3 separate regions of the Mus musculus genome follow, and regions 2 and 3 are each reported to be linked to region 1. Evidence: microRNA targets listed by miRTarBase, many of them from high-throughput screens and not tested one by one. Region 1 holds a microRNA gene; each other region holds the end of a gene's coding sequence.

Region 1 (5,175 bases):
GTACCCTTCACAGAGGCCTGGTCTCAGGGGAAGCTCAGGGTGACACAGAGAAACCACTGCTGAGCAAGTCATGTTAGTAGCTGGATACGCACCACCTTCACATCCAGATAGATAATAAAGGAATAGGTTCATGTAGCATCCATTGGAAAAGCCCCAAGCCTGCACAGTTAGTATCTTGGGAATAGTTTTTCCCCATATAATACAATTGCTTTATTACATTTTTTGTAACTTATATTCAATATAAAAAGTAATACCACTGAGTTGATCTTATAATTAGTCTCTGATGAAAATAAATTCTTTAGAATTCTGTCATACTCTCAAAAAGGGGAAGAAGGGGTCACTTGGACCTTGATATAGGAAGTATGGACAATAGAAGCCTTTCCATTATTCAATGAGATACAGTTTGGTTCATCTTAGGAATCTCTGGTATGAGCCTTCTATGCATCTAAGGACCTAACAAGGTCCTGGTAGAGAACCACCTGGCAATACACTCTCTGCTTGTCTGGGACCAAGGTCTGGCATGTGAGCTCCAAGCCTGTAGCTTAGCCATGCAGAAAACATGTTTGCTTTCCCATGTCACAGAACACCTGTGTGCCCGTTCCCACTCCCACTCAGAATATGAATCAGCCACATGGGAATGCCAGACAGCAGCAGAGTTACCCCCCATCCCAAATCTCACCACTTCTGGCAAGTGTCTTCATCCGAAAGACCTTTTAGAGCGATGCTTAAAAAAACTACTCGTTCACCAATGGTGGCTTCTACATATTCCCAAGTTCCTTTTCTGACGACCCCCGTCAAACTACTCTCCTGCCCCTGTAGGGTAAGAGGTCTTGCTCATCCACAGTTAGGAGTGCCATCAAGAGTTGTTTCCTCCTAAGGTAAAACCAACAAGGCCTGGGAGCATAGCCATGCTATTTCCAGGAAAAGTACTTATATAGTCTCTGTGCTAGACAGCTCAGAGTAAACTCACATACAGTTCACGGACTCATTTATGGGAAGAAGTCAAAGCAGCCAGAGAGGCTGATATATACCCGAAAGAATGCTTTCTGGGTCATAGCCCAACTTCCTGCGGCAGCCAATTAGAGTATTTGTTTACTTTCGGACTGCCGGGTTCTTCTAAATATTAACAACCTCTGTGCAGAAGTTCACCTACAACAGAAAACTCAACCGACAGAGCACAGTCCCGAGCATGTTCTCTTCATCAGACATATCTGATCCAAATTAAGGTCTGCAATTAAGGTTTACGGGCTCACCATCCGTAAAGTGAGCACAGTCACCAGGGTTTAGATTTGTTACCAGAAGCGGAAAGTTAGAGATAATAAATGTCCCGATTTTTTTTTTGGCATGGAAAACAATTACAAAATTTAATCTGTGAGAGTGTGTTGAGAGTTGTCAGGAAGAAATATCTAGATCAATGTGTTTGCCAGTTACAATCCTAACCTTTGTCCTATATCAAAGACACGGGTTGTTATCTTCCATCTTTTTCCACTGAATACTTTTCTTAAGGACTCCTAATTGCATTCAACTAAACTTTAGAAAATATCTTAAGCCTTCAGGAGCTATACTCCCTTTCCACAACAAACAGATAATGTAGTAGTATTGATACAGTTTGTTGTGGTCTGAAACAAAGCATCCCCCATCCATAATAAGTTAGTGTGTCTGAACATTTGGTCTTCAGCTGGCAGTGCCATTTGGCTATGGAAGCTTTAGGAATTCACAAAGCCTTGCTGAAGGACATACTGGCCTTTGAGGTTTTATGGCCTGGCTCCATCTGCTGTCCTATCTCTCTACTTCCTGACTGCCGGCCTTCCCTCTTTGATGGTCTGGCCCCTGATAAACTAAGCCATAATACACCCTTTTGCCTTAAGTTGCTTTTGGTTGGGGCATCCTGTCACAGCAACAGAAAGGTAACTAAGACACAGGTCTTAAAGGCTACACGAAGAAATGGAATGAAACATAACAACATACGCACTCTGTCATCTAAACCTACTTGTGATTTTTTAATATATTTTTTCCTGTTGCTTCTAAACTTTGTTAGGACCCCCGGAGACAGGGCAAGACACTGTAGGAATATGCTTGATATATAGTTGGATTAAATAACAACCTAATATATCAAACATATCACACAGAGGCCTGCAGAAAAGGCATCCAGGTTTGACTGAGCTTGAGAATATGGCTGTGGGAGTCAGTCACCTCTGCAGTATCTCCCAGCCTGCCTTGGAACACAGGCGTGTCTGTAGGTGTGGCAAGGATGCCATTAGCAACAATGCTGGTGGCACACACTCTGAGCCTGGGCTCCTTTCCCCAAATGAAAAGGGAGTCTGTGCACCTGTCTGTCACTCACGTCTGAGAGATTACAGGTAAAGGGAGGTGCTTCCATGGTCAGGGCCCAAGGGTGGAACTACACCAGAACCATCTTCACATGCCACAGACTAGTCTCCTTTTAAAACAGGTAACCTGAGAACCAGGTAATCAAAACAGCTGGAAGTCATCACCCTCCCTCCCTCCCTCCCCAAACTAGTCCTCCAAGCAGCACAGGTGCTCTGCCTGGGTGGAGGATAACCTCATTCACGTGGTATGGGGGTGGGTGGCCACAGTCACTATGGCAAGTATGCAGGAGCAGCTGCCATTTATGGCACCCTGAGGATTTTTGTCTTTAAGGTTACAGGACAGGATGGAGAAAAGTAACCTCAAATATTAGCTGGTTTTGCTGTTTCGGTAATTTTTTTTCTTTTAAGCCGAGGAAAAGTTCTTTTGTAACTGTCAGGAGGATGTTATGCATTGTGCAAGAAGTTTCCCACGGTGGACGGCCCTCCTTGCAAGCCCGGGGCTACATGCTTTGGGATGATAAGCTGCTTTGAGACACTTTCATGGATAATGCCTAGCAGTGTACACATAAGGGGTCCACACAGGCCGCCTCCGGCAACCATCCCTCATTTTCTTTTCTTAAGATTTACTTATTTATTTTAAGTGAGTACACTGGCACTCTCTTCAGACACACCAGAAGAGGGCATCGGATCCCATCACAGATGGTTGTGAGCCACCATGTGGTTGTTGGGAATTGAACTCGGGACCTCTGGGAGAGCAGTCAGTGCTCTTAACCGCTGAGCCCTCTCTCCAGCCCCCCTCATTTTCAATGTGTGTGGTTTTCAAACATTGTTTTCCAGAACTGTAAAACACAGAGCCTGCCGTTCCCTGGTCCCATTTCAAGTCTTAGCTGTTCTTTGCTGATCATCTCCGTTAGTTCCCAGCTTTGTGACATAAGCACTAACCATGGATGCCTAGGTGTTATCATTTCTCCCCATTTTACTCATTCCATAAGCATCTTCACGCTGTACAGTCTGGCAACCATTACTCTTCATTACTGTAACAGCCTCATCATTTCCCTTCAAGAAGACCCCAACTTCTTACTGCTACCAACCAAGCTTCTAGAACATCCCTCTCACACAAGTCTGGGTTTTTTTCCTTAGGAAAGGAACTGGAGACAAGTCTAACAGCCTAAGACACTATAAAGTGCAGTGGTCCTGAGGGACGGGAATCATTTTCTCTGCCAATGGGGTATCAGAGGGAGTACAGTGTTCAGAAACTGGGACCCCAGCTCTATGTTCCCTCCCCACTCAATCACACGGTCTGACAGTGGTGAGGACCAGATAAAATACTTAGGAGACTGGTCTGGACCGTGTCTTGTATTTACGGTAGCCCTGTCGCCCGCCCTCTTACCCAACTAGGGATCCATGAAAGACCTTATCTTCCACACAAAGATGAAAAATGAAGGTGTCAGAAAGCATATGTCTGGTCATAGTGATGGTGACAGAGGTGATAGCATTACCATTTACTAGTCAGGCACCATGTTCTTACGTTATCGACTTATGCTATAAGAACAATCCTGCAGGATGAAGGAGATCCCAGTAAGTCTGTTTTCCAAATCAAGAATGTTGACGCAAATGAGCAACCAGTCAGAGAAAAACAGACAAGAGCTGAGGAGGACCCTAGAGAAGGACAGGGTGGAGGCCAGGGGATGCTGGAAAATAGTGGAATATGGGTGATACACGAGCAGCAGGCCCATTCACAGATTGCAGGTGTCAACTGACCAAAACACAGAGTCATCCCCTGTGAAAAGGCCTCTTGGGATAGACTAGACAAGCATAAGACACGCAGATTAAGCTGCAAACCTCACAACCTTTTATATATATATATATATTTTTTTTTTGGAAGGGGGGGGTTTGAGACAGGGTTTCTCTGTGTAGCCCTGGCTGTCCTGGAACTCACTTTGTAGACCAGGCTGACCTCGAACTCAGAAATCCGCCTGCCTCTGCCTCCCGAGTGCTGGGATCAAAGGCGTGCGCCACCACCGCCCGGCACAACCTTATTTTTAAGATTCACCTTTAAAGTATACTTCTCAAGTTCTATTAACTTGACTTGCAAAGCAGAAACAAAAACCTAACCCGAAAATGCAGTTGTCCCTGACCGGACTGTCAGATCTTAAACTCTGACAGTATCAGATGATCCAAGAGCCCCAGGGCACCAGGAACGAAACCCCAGCAAACACAAAAGTCAGAGGTCAAAAATCTCAAATTATGCCTTGATGAGGAAAATCTGAAATGTGCCTGCCATCAAGGCCAGTGCTTAGGAGATAGGTCTGAAGCCTTGACGACTTTAAGAAGCCTCCAGCCTTAACAGATTCATTAGCCTCCTGTCTGCTGCATACATGTCCTCAACACTGCCTTGGCACTGATTGTTGTATTTCAAACCTCCAGACACCATCTTTCAATTTGACAAAAATAGGTAGAAATTTAGGCAGACCTAAACTGGGGGTCTAACTTTTTTGGGGCGGGCATACAAATAGCCAAAGTTCCTTTCCCAATGTATGTGGGTCCCTGGGAGGTGAATATAGATACCCATAAAGACTTGCATAGGTAGGAAGAAAATGAAACCTCCTCCTTCTGACATCTTCCTAAAGGTGGCTGAAGTGTGGGGTAGGAACCGCAGCTGCTTACTAAGGCTGAGCCTGACCCTGAAGATGGGCCAGCTCCTACTGCCCCATAGAAAAGAATCTATCTTCTTGGCTACTTCTCTTATGAAAACTACACTAGCCAGCCACGGGCTCCTGTACACACTGAAACAGCCTAGTGCTGGGTTTCTCTTTGAGATGTGCATTATTCTCTATTTGTGTGT
Region 2 (5,000 bases), not on the chromosome of region 1:
ACCTTAGTACAAGGAGATAAGTATGGATCGATTCGCATTCTTCTACATGATAACAACCAGTTGTGCCAGCACCATTTGTTGAAAATGCTGTCTTTCTTCCACTGGATGGTTTTAGCTCCCTTGTCGAAGATCAAGTGACCATAGGTGTGTGGGTTCATTTCTGGGTCTTCAATTCTATTCCATTGGTCTACTTGTCTGTCTCTATACCAGTACCATGCAGTTTTTACCACAATTGCTCTGTAGTAAAGCTTTAGGTCCGGCATGGTGATTCCACCAGAGGTTCTTTTATCCTTGAGAAGAGTTTTTGCTATCCTAGGTTTTTTGTTATTCCAGATGAATTTGCAAATTGCTCCTTCTAATTCATTGAAGAATTGAGTTGGAATTTTGATGGGGATTGCATTGAATCTGTAGATTGCTTTTGGCAAGATAGCCATTTTTACAATATTGATCCTGCCAATCCATGAGCATGGGAGATCTTTCCATCTTCTGAGATCTTCTTTAATTTCTTTCTTCAGAGACTTGAAGTTTTTATCATACAGATCTTTCACTTCCTTAGTTAGAGTCACGCCGAGATATTTTATATTATTTGTGACTATTGAGAAGGGTGTTGTTTCCCTAATTTCTTTCTCAGCCTGTTTATTCTTTGTGTAGAGAAAGGCCATTGACTTGTTTGAGTTAATTTTATATCCAGCTACTTCACCGAAGCTGTTTATCAGGTTTAGGAGTTCTCTGGTGGAATTTTTAGGGTCACTTATATATACTATCATATCATCTGCAAAAAGTGATATTTTGACTTCCTCCTTTCCAATTTGTATCCCCTTGATCTCCTTTTGTTGTCGAATTGCTCTGGCTAATACTTCAAGTACTATGTTGAAAAGGTAGGGTGAAAGTGGGCAGCCTTGTCTAGTCCCTGATTTTAGTGGGATTGCTTCCAGCTTCTCTCCATTTACTTTGATGTTGGCTACTGGTTTGCTGTAGATTGCTTTTATCATGTCTAGGTATGGGCCTTGAATTCCTGATCTTTCCAGAACTTTTATCATGAATGGGTGTTGGATCTTGTCAAATGCTTTTTCTGCATCCAACGAGATGATCATGTGGTTTTTGTCTTTGAGTTTGTTTATATAGTGGATTACATTGATGGATTTTCGTATATTAAACCATCCCTGCATTCCTGGAATAAAACCTACTTGGTCAGGATGGATGATTGCTTTAATGTGATCTTGGATTCGGTTAGCGAGAATTTTATTGAGGATTTTTGCATCGATATTCATAAGAGAAATTGGTCTGAAGTTCTCTATCTTTGTTGGATCTTTCTGTGGTTTAGGTATCAGAGTAATAGTGGCTTCATAAAATGAGTTGGGTAGAGTACTTTCTACTTCTATCTTGTGAAAAAGTTTGTGCAGAACTGGAATTAGATCTTCTTTGAAGGTCCGATAGAACTCTGCACTAAACCCGTCTGGTCCTGGGCTTTTTTTGGCTGGGAGACTATTTATAACTGCTTCTATTTCTTTAGGGGATATGGGACTGTTTAGAAGGTCAACTTGATCCTGATTCAACTTTGGTACCTGGTACCTGTCCAGAAATTTGTCCATTTCGTCCAGGTTTTCCAGTTTTGTTGAGTATAGCCTTTTGTAGAAGGATCTGATGGTGTTTTGGATTTCTTCAGGATCTGTTGTTATGTCTCCCTTTTCAGTTCTGATTTTGTTAATTAGGATTTTGTCTCTGTGCCCTCTAGTGAGTCTAGCTAAGGGTTTATCTATCTTGTTGATTTTCTCAAAGAACCAACTCCTCGTTTGCTGACACCATTGCATACACTAGCAAGATTTTATCGAAAGGACCCAGATGTAGTTGTCTCTTGTGAGACTATGCCGGGGCCTAGCAAACACAGAAGTGGATGCCCACAGTCAGCTAATGGATGGATCACAGGGCTCCCAATGGAGGAGCTAGAGAAAGTACCCAAGGAGCTAAAGGGATCTGCAACCCTATAGGTGGATCAACATTATGAACTAACCAGTACCCCGGAGCTCTTGACTCTAGCTGCATATGTATCAAAAGATGGCCTAGTCGGCCATCACTGGAAAGAGAGGCCCATTGGACACACAAACTTTATATGCCCCAGAACAGGGGAACGCCAGGGCCAAAAAGGGGGAGTGGGCGGGTAGGGGAGTGGGGGTGGGTGGGTATGGGGGACTTTTGGTATAGCATTGGAAATGTAAATGAGCTAAATACCTAATAAAAAATGGAAAGAAAAAAAAAAAAAAAAAGAACTGGAAGGATAGAAGGCAGAGCTAAATTACCTGTCTGAAGCATCAGTAAAATTTGACAGCAGCTAAAGTCCTTGTCTGCATGTACCTTTTACAGATCTGGGCTCACACCAGCCTCTCCAGGAGGGATCTCAGCCAATATATTCTCAATCCAGACCTGAACCCCTAAGGAAGAAAGCTGGCCTAGAGCACATTGACAGATTCCCAAAGGGACTTTCTTCTGTGTATTACATTTTAAAAATCCCCAAGTGATTCAGATCACCTTCCCAAATCTGAGCCTCCCTCCCCTTCAGTTTATAAATGAGGAGACAGGTGCGGAGACATCTAGCCTGTTGTTCCTAGTCTAGTGGCTGCTGTGTGGCCAAGGCACTGCTAAGGTAAGGAAACTGCCTGTTTCATCAAATCCCAAGCAGCCACTCCTGATCCGAGTTCCTTGACCTTGATAAAAATAATCACTAGAAACGAGAAAATCAGAGGAGTCATGGAGAAGTTCCTTCACAAGCACCCCTCACCTTTTAGCATTACAGGAAGCCTCTCCTAAAAGCCATCGGTCCAGTTCCCTAACTCCCATGCTTTAACGTCACTGTCCGCAGCTGGCTGGAGTGTGCTGTCAATCAGACCTCCGGTGCTCTCTCTGCCTCCTGACTGATCTTCAGAAGCCAGTGGCCCTCAGATCTTCTCTGCCTTCCTTTGCTTATTTATCAGCATCCGCGTGCAGGAACCAACACCAAACAGTGGTGGTGGTTGGATAAGTGGAAACACAATCTATTAATACAGGAATGTACTCTCTGAACTGGAGACGAGGCTCAGCACTTGACACTGCACACTGCTATTGCAGAGGCCTCAAGTTCACTTCCCAGCATCCATGAGATCATGGTTTTCACAGCTACCACAACCCCAGCTTCATGAGATCTGACATTCTCTTCTGACCTCAGCAGGCACCAGCAGCTGTGCACATATCCACACACAGATGTACACACATACACCTAAGTTAAAATAAATCTTTAAAAATAATAATAATAATAATAATAATAGTATCCCCCTTAAGATGTCTCTACCTGGTATTCATTAATTAGAGAGGAGAAGCGAACAGAAATCCATTTAATTTTCTTTTTTATATTATTACAAGTATAGTTTAATGTGCCCAAGAGCAACTCACAATATACTACTATTTATTTTGGGGAAAAAGAGCAACAACACTGGAAAATTCGGAATATAAGTATTTAGGAGTTACTCATCCTTGAAATGGCCAGCAATTTTGGATCATGAAACCATCTTGCAGATTCAAAACAATAAAACCAGTGGTTGAGCACCAAAATTAATTGCATCACCTGCCCATTAACTGCTCAGCTCTGGGAAATTCAATCGCAGTAGATGAGAGATGCTTTCTTCCAAAAATACATTCATTAAAAATATATCTTAGTGCTTGAGTGTATGTCAGATTCTCTTGCAAAATAAATACTTCCAACCTGGGTTAAAATCAGCTGCTTCCAGAAGAGGAAACTGCTGTCCAAAGTGACAGCCATGGGCTGCAGATAGATCTCAGGGGCACAGTGTGCAAGGTCCTGGGTTCAAACCTCTGTGTGAAGAATAACAAGGGTAAGGACAGTTTCAGTGCTCAGGGCTGTGAACCCTGAGCATGGCTGTACTCTGGCAGTATTCTGATTAGAAATTTCACCTAAAGATGACACAACATCAGATCACAGAGAGAGAACGTAACAGGCAGACTTTTCCCAGAGTCCAGCCTGCGCCCTGAATCTGTAACACATTCTCCCTGGAGGGGTGGCAGTATGGATGTACAGGGGGCTTTAATGCTCCATTGTTCAAAATTCAGTTTATCTATGACCTCAAGAAAACAAAGTGCTCAGTCATGTTGAGAGCCATTTTTGTTCCTCTCAGAGAAACAGAAAAGGGGTTGTTTGCATTGTGGGCAGGGAGAAGGACCGGCACGTTTCTCCTGTGACCCCTTCCCCAACAAATCCTTGCAAAGTGAAGAGCCAGCCCACAAAACAAACACAGCTGCTACCAACGGGAGGCAAGCTTTTCTTTTATTCAGGGTCTCAGAATGAATCAGTCAGTGTCATTTTAAATAAGTCCAGTGAAAATCCTTACCCTAAAGCTTTCAACATAAGGAAAGGTGCTTTTCCAGGTTCTGAGCCAGGACCACCTTAGATATGCACGTGCTTATCCTCCTGCAGTCAAAGAACATTCTTACAGCTACAGGTGACATGAACAGGAAAATGGTTCGTATACTACATCACTTGCTGATAGGGTACCTCAGAGTGCCCTAGAAACCACACGACTTCTTCAGGCTGGATTGATGTGCCCAAAGCCGGGCCCCTTGATGCTGGGGATCTCGTTCTTCCTGTAGAAGTCGGTCTTCACGTGGCTCACATGGCCATAGTCTCTGTTTAGGGGCTCAATGGGCTGATTGATGCGTTTCCCATAGACAGAGGACATCAGCACTGGCACAGTCCTTTCTTGTTCCTGGGAAGATGAAATTCGCAGACACCACTGTGAGCACAGAAACCTTTCTACCCACAATGCATCAGTACAGTGGCCGGTCCATCAGATGTCTCACCCAGGCGACGTCTCAATGATACCTGTGTTTGCAAAGCCAGAAAGACTCCAGTCCCTCTGCGCACGACCCTCTACTACCCTGCTATCTGGAGGAGAAGTAAGACGCTGAACCAGACACCACTAGTGGTCTGACTTCAGGTCCTGTTCCTCCTCTTC
Region 3 (5,000 bases), not on the chromosome of region 1:
TCTGCAACAGTGCCCAGCCCCCACATGGCAGCTCACAGCCATCTGTAGCTCCAGTTCCAGGGGCTCCGATATCCCGTTCTAGCATCCATGGGTGGTGTACACACATGGGACACACACATACATACAGGGAAAACACATAGAAAGTAAGTAAGGCTGTTTTTGAAATACTGTCAAGTACTATTATAAAGCTCAAATCAAGAGTAAATACGTATTGGTGAACACGTATATATTTTGGTTTCTTCTTTCCTTTATAGTAACATCGCATATAGGAGAGTACCTTTGAGAAAGGAACAGAGAATTAGGAAATACAACAGCACTGTCAGGGGTCTGGGTTTTTAGCTTAATGGACGATTTGGGGGCGTTCGTTTTATTATTTTTTGTTTCACTACATCATCCAAACTGACATCAGACTCGGTCTCCCGTGTGCTGGAGTGGTAGTCTGTAGTATGTGGATGAGAACACACACAGTCAGGTGGACTCCTCGCTCATGCTAAAGGAACATGGTACCGCTGAACACGGACAGATCACTCCCTTATATCCCGTTGCTTTGAGACTGAAGGGCCACGGTGTCTACCCTGTCCGGACACACCATCATAATGACATGAGTAAAGCTCGGGGACTCGGCCCCCCTCTGACACGGTCTTCTCTCTTCCTTGCAGCACATCATCTACTCTGTGAAGTTCTTCATTTCCTACGCAATTCCAGATGTGTCCAAAATCACGAAAAGCAAGATCAAGAGGGAGAAATACCTCACGCAGAAGTTGCTTCACGAGAGTCACCTCAAAGACCTGACCAAAAACATGGGGATCATCGCCGAGAGGATAGGAGGAACGGTTGACAACAGCGTGCGGCCAAAACTCGAATGAGCGGGAGCTTTAGGCCTGGAGAAGCACTTTAAAGAGAATTAGCTGTCAGACGTGTGTGAAGCACTAGAGAGGATGGCATTGGAACTCCTAGGCAGGCGGAGTCTTGCCCATGCCCATTTCTGCCTGTGTCATCTTCCAGTTTCAGCAAGCAGTGTGGAAACTGGAGAACAGAAAACTGATCAGGCAGAGCCTAAAACCACCTACCTGGAGGTCCTGAACATGCTCCCTCTTTTGATAAATTGGAATTTTAGTAACAGGAAAAAAAGCCCTGAGGTGTGCCCAAGTTCTCCCCGGGACTTCGCTTTTCTGACCTCACGTGTGCAGAGCTCCTTTTCTGTGCTTAATTTTGCATTTTGCCAAATCTATCCCAGACCTATTTTGTCCGGACAGCACCATCACCAAAGACCAGGCAGACCTCAGCCTTAATCGCCTCTGTGTTATCAACAATAGCCAGCTCAGGATTGAGTTTGGATGCTGTGTTAGGTCCCAGGTAGGCTCAAGAGTTCACAGTATTTCAGTGTCTTACTGTACACTCCAAGGAAGGAGACTCCGCTGCGTATGAAACAGCTTCTGTATCATTTCAGCCTGTATTTCCACCTCCAAGAAATACTCGTCTTAGATTGGCATGAAGATGGAGGGTATTGAATGAAGAAGCCTGTCCCTGTTACTCCACGGTGACATTTGCTCTCTAGCAATACTCCCAGCATGCTCTGGGTCTGACCAATGTTGACTGGCTTTCAGATCTTAAGGGTATATAAGATGAAAAGGTAGCAGCCCTTGTTGATCTGAACGGTTAATTTATCTCTTCTTGGTAGATGATAATCAAATGATTGTAACTGTCTCGTCCTCAGCATCATGGGCCGGGAAGCCCATCCACTTCATGAGAACGGACTTAGCAGATGCAGAAGGGTGGCACTACCAATCACCAAGCGCCTTCTGCCTTGCTCGCTGAAAAAGGCTGGTGGCCTGACGACACTGGGCGTAGTCAGAGCAACAGCCAGCTACCCAATCACTAGCCATATCCTGTGATCCCTCTGTGGCAGATGTCACTCACTGGGAACCCTACTGACTTCTCTGCTTGCCACGGTGACCAGCTTCCTTGCCCAGCTCCATTCGTTGCCTGCTAACTCGTTTGTAATCACAGCTGGGCTGGAGACAAGTCTACCAAGATTGTTGCCCTTTGAGGAAGGAAACCCTGGGTTGAATTTGAGCCCCAAGCCTCCTCTCAAGCCATCAGGGGGTTATGGGAAAGGCTGGTTTATCTGCTGGTGGCTTGCTGCGAAGCCTCAGCTTCCTAGTGCCTTGCCCTCCCTGTTGCTTGGCTGAGCAGTCTCTCTGCAGCCTGTGCTCCGCTTCTCCTCCAGTCCATCTGGAGGAGACATGGCGATACCTCGCACCCTTGACTGATCACAGAGGTCAGTGCTGGGTGAAGAAGGGAGGACCTGCCTCACACTGTTTGGGGATCGGGCCGCTGCTGACTGGATGGGTGTGGAATGCCTCGGTGCCTAGGAACCAAGCCAAGGAAAGTGAGCGGTTTTAGAGACTGCCTTCTCAACACCCGTGGTATTAAATGCCCACCACGAATGATTTACTAGAGAATTGAGAATCAACATGATTAATCAAAGCAGTGTTCTGGGCTTTTGAGTAGCCCAGGGGGTCAGTGTGGGAGTATTTCCCCTCCTCCCTTGTCCTGGGAGTCCAGAGCCCGCCATACAGTGTCTATCTGTGCTGAGATAAAAATGACTACCTTCCTCCCTGAGGGATGCTCTCATTGCACAGCTGAAACCAAGTGCCACTCCTTGCCCCTACCCCCAGATTGCCCTGGAGTGCCCTGCTCCCTCTGTTACCTCTTTTCCAGAGCCTGTGCTCACTTCCTAAGGACAGGAAAGTACTCCCACTCCATACCATAGAAAGAGGAAATTTTCCCTTCCTTTCTTTGTAGACACAAAGAAAAATGTCAAATAAAAAGTGCATTTCTTCATCTATATTCCCCAGCCAAGAACTCCCTTCACAAAGTAGAAAGTACCACTATGGACAGAAGAAGGAGGAAAAAAAAAAAAAAAAAAAAAAAAAAAACTTCCTTTTCTGAAAGGAGCACTCATGGCATCTGATGCTACCAGAATGCTGAATGACAGCAAGGTTGCTGTGAGCTGTAGGTTCCCAATGGCGTCAGTGTCATTCCTATGAGGCCTGTGCCAAGTTGGTGATGGATAGGAACAGGGGACACCTTCGGTGGCAGTGAGGTAGACCCCAGGCCCAGGAAAACCAAGGGCATGACTGTGGCCACCCACCTGTCTAGCATGAGCCACTAGAGAAGTTCCATCCTTTTGTAATGCCTTTGCATTTTAATGGATTAATGTGGTAGACCCAGTACTCAGGGGATTTTTCCTTAAATGCTCCTCGGATGTTTTAGGTATTCCGTTAGAAGTAGAAGACCACAATTTTTCTTGAAATTGAAAGAGGCCGTCTGGTAATGAGTTTGTCAAGGTTTCCCCTTTGCAGGGCACGTGGGTCTTGAGTTTCATAGGACATCCGTTTGTGATGGGGCAGAGCGGGGTGAGTTGGTCTCACAGGTCTTGTGTGCTCCTTGTGTTCGTTCCTACAATGGTTGAGAAGTGGAGACAGTGCAGAGCTCAGCTGAAAAGGGACTCGTGATGCTTCCCATACACTGTGTCCCCGGTGTAATGTTTGTAACTGATGTCTGTTAATTTCTATGCATTTTAATATTTTTTAATTAATGAGCATTTTAATAAAATCAGTTTTACAAACAATGCTGTGGCCTAACGAGGTTTAATAAGTGTCTTATTAATGTTTTTAAAGGAACAGGTTTCCGAGGTTGGCCAATTACTGGTTAAGTATCGCTTAGATGATGGGTGTGCACGTCTGTCTAGAGTATATCTATAATGACTTTTCATGGCCCGTGGTTACATGGCCTTTCAGCCATGGTAGATGCTGTAAATGCAGGTGAGCTGAAGACCTGCTCACCTGCTCACCAGCCCAGGTACCCTAGAGTCACCGGTGAGATGACACCCCTTTGTCAATAACCCTCTTTGGGTCTCACTGTGTAGCTCAGGCTAGCCGCCCCTCGAGCTCTGAGAGGACACGTGAGCCACACACCTGGCCCTTGGATGCACTTTAGAACAGTCCTAATAAGGGACCCTCTCTTCTACACACTGTAAGCAAACGGTTAGCTACAAGTTTACTTCTAAGGCAAAGCACCGGCTTCCCATCCGGGAGCACCTCGGTACTGACCAAAAGATGCAAATTCTCCAACGTGGTTCCAGAGACTGGTGCATGTGAAAATGTAAATGTTTTTAAAATAATCTTCAGAAGACAAGGTGGCTCTTTTTTTTTTCTTCACAGAAAAGCCAAAGTAACAGGTGTTTAGGGGACACGGGAGGTGACTGGACTCTTAAGGATTGAGTAGTATGGACATGGTATCACCTTGGTTTCAGACCAGGCAAGGGAAAGGAGGCCTGTGAATTATCATCTCTGTAAGTCAGATTAACACACACACACACACACACACACACACACACACACACACACACACGTCACTAAGCCTCAACAACAAACTGGATCAACAGGGAGAAAATATGTGACCCCCCAAACCAAGCTGTTGAAATAACCTGTTCAAACAAGGAAGGAGGAGAGAGGGAGGGGGGAGGGAGGCAGAGGGGAGAGGAGAATGAAGGCATTCAGAGCCTTTGGAAACAAACCTGCATTTTCAGCATACCATAGCCCCGACCTATTTTGAAAAGAGACAATATCCAAATTTGGACAGATTTAGGAGTCAGACCTCTGCGTACCCCCATGTCTGGGACTCCACAGATATTCTACCACACAGGCTCAGTTGATGGTTGCTCTGTGAGCCAGACTTGACTTGGAGTGACTGTCACAGGCCAACTCTTACGGTGTGAATATCAAATGTCCCCTACAGGGCTATTTATTGAATGCTTGGTCACCAGCTAGTGGCACTATTTGGGGAGAGTGTGGAAAATGTAGGAGATAGGATGTCACTGGAAATATTAGGTTACTAGGGGCATGCCCTGATGCCTGGTCCCCAGACCCTTGACTCCACTCAGCCATCTCTGCCACATGCCCCTGCCATCATGATGTATGTCAAGGCTTGCC

The links. The annotated mature microRNA mmu-miR-190a-5p reads UGAUAUGUUUGAUAUAUUAGGU and lies in region 1 at 2,103-2,124, opposite strand. An mRNA with a match to its seed (bases 2 to 7 or 8) in the 3' UTR can be bound and repressed. Matches are read on the target gene's strand: a 7mer-m8 pairs with bases 2 to 8, a 7mer-A1 pairs with bases 2 to 7 and ends in A, and an 8mer does both.
Region 2: the mRNA of 1700001L19Rik is a reported target of mmu-miR-190a-5p. The part of its 3' UTR that is shown has no 7-base or 8-base seed match.
Region 3: the mRNA of Ano6 is a reported target of mmu-miR-190a-5p. The part of its 3' UTR that is shown has no 7-base or 8-base seed match.

Annotation. Positions count from the first base shown.
Region 1 is chr9:67,234,598-67,239,772 of GRCm38, forward strand. Mir190a (microRNA 190a) reads right to left here and starts at 2,129; the gene lies at 2,063-2,129. All of the region lies in intron 53 of Tln2 (talin 2), which reads right to left.
Region 2 is chr13:68,612,581-68,617,580 of GRCm38, reverse strand. It overlaps 1700001L19Rik (RIKEN cDNA 1700001L19 gene), which reads right to left. Exons shown (of 3, transcript NM_027035.1): 3 at 3,350-4,751. The coding sequence ends at 4,572. Among named protein-coding and RNA genes, the nearest start is that of Gm34903, 11 kb to the right of the region's middle.
Region 3 is chr15:95,971,836-95,976,835 of GRCm38, forward strand. Ano6 (anoctamin 6) reads left to right here. Exons shown (of 20, transcript NM_175344.4): 20 at 660-3,637. The coding sequence ends at 866. Among named protein-coding and RNA genes, the nearest start is that of Gm41389, 62 kb to the left of the region's middle.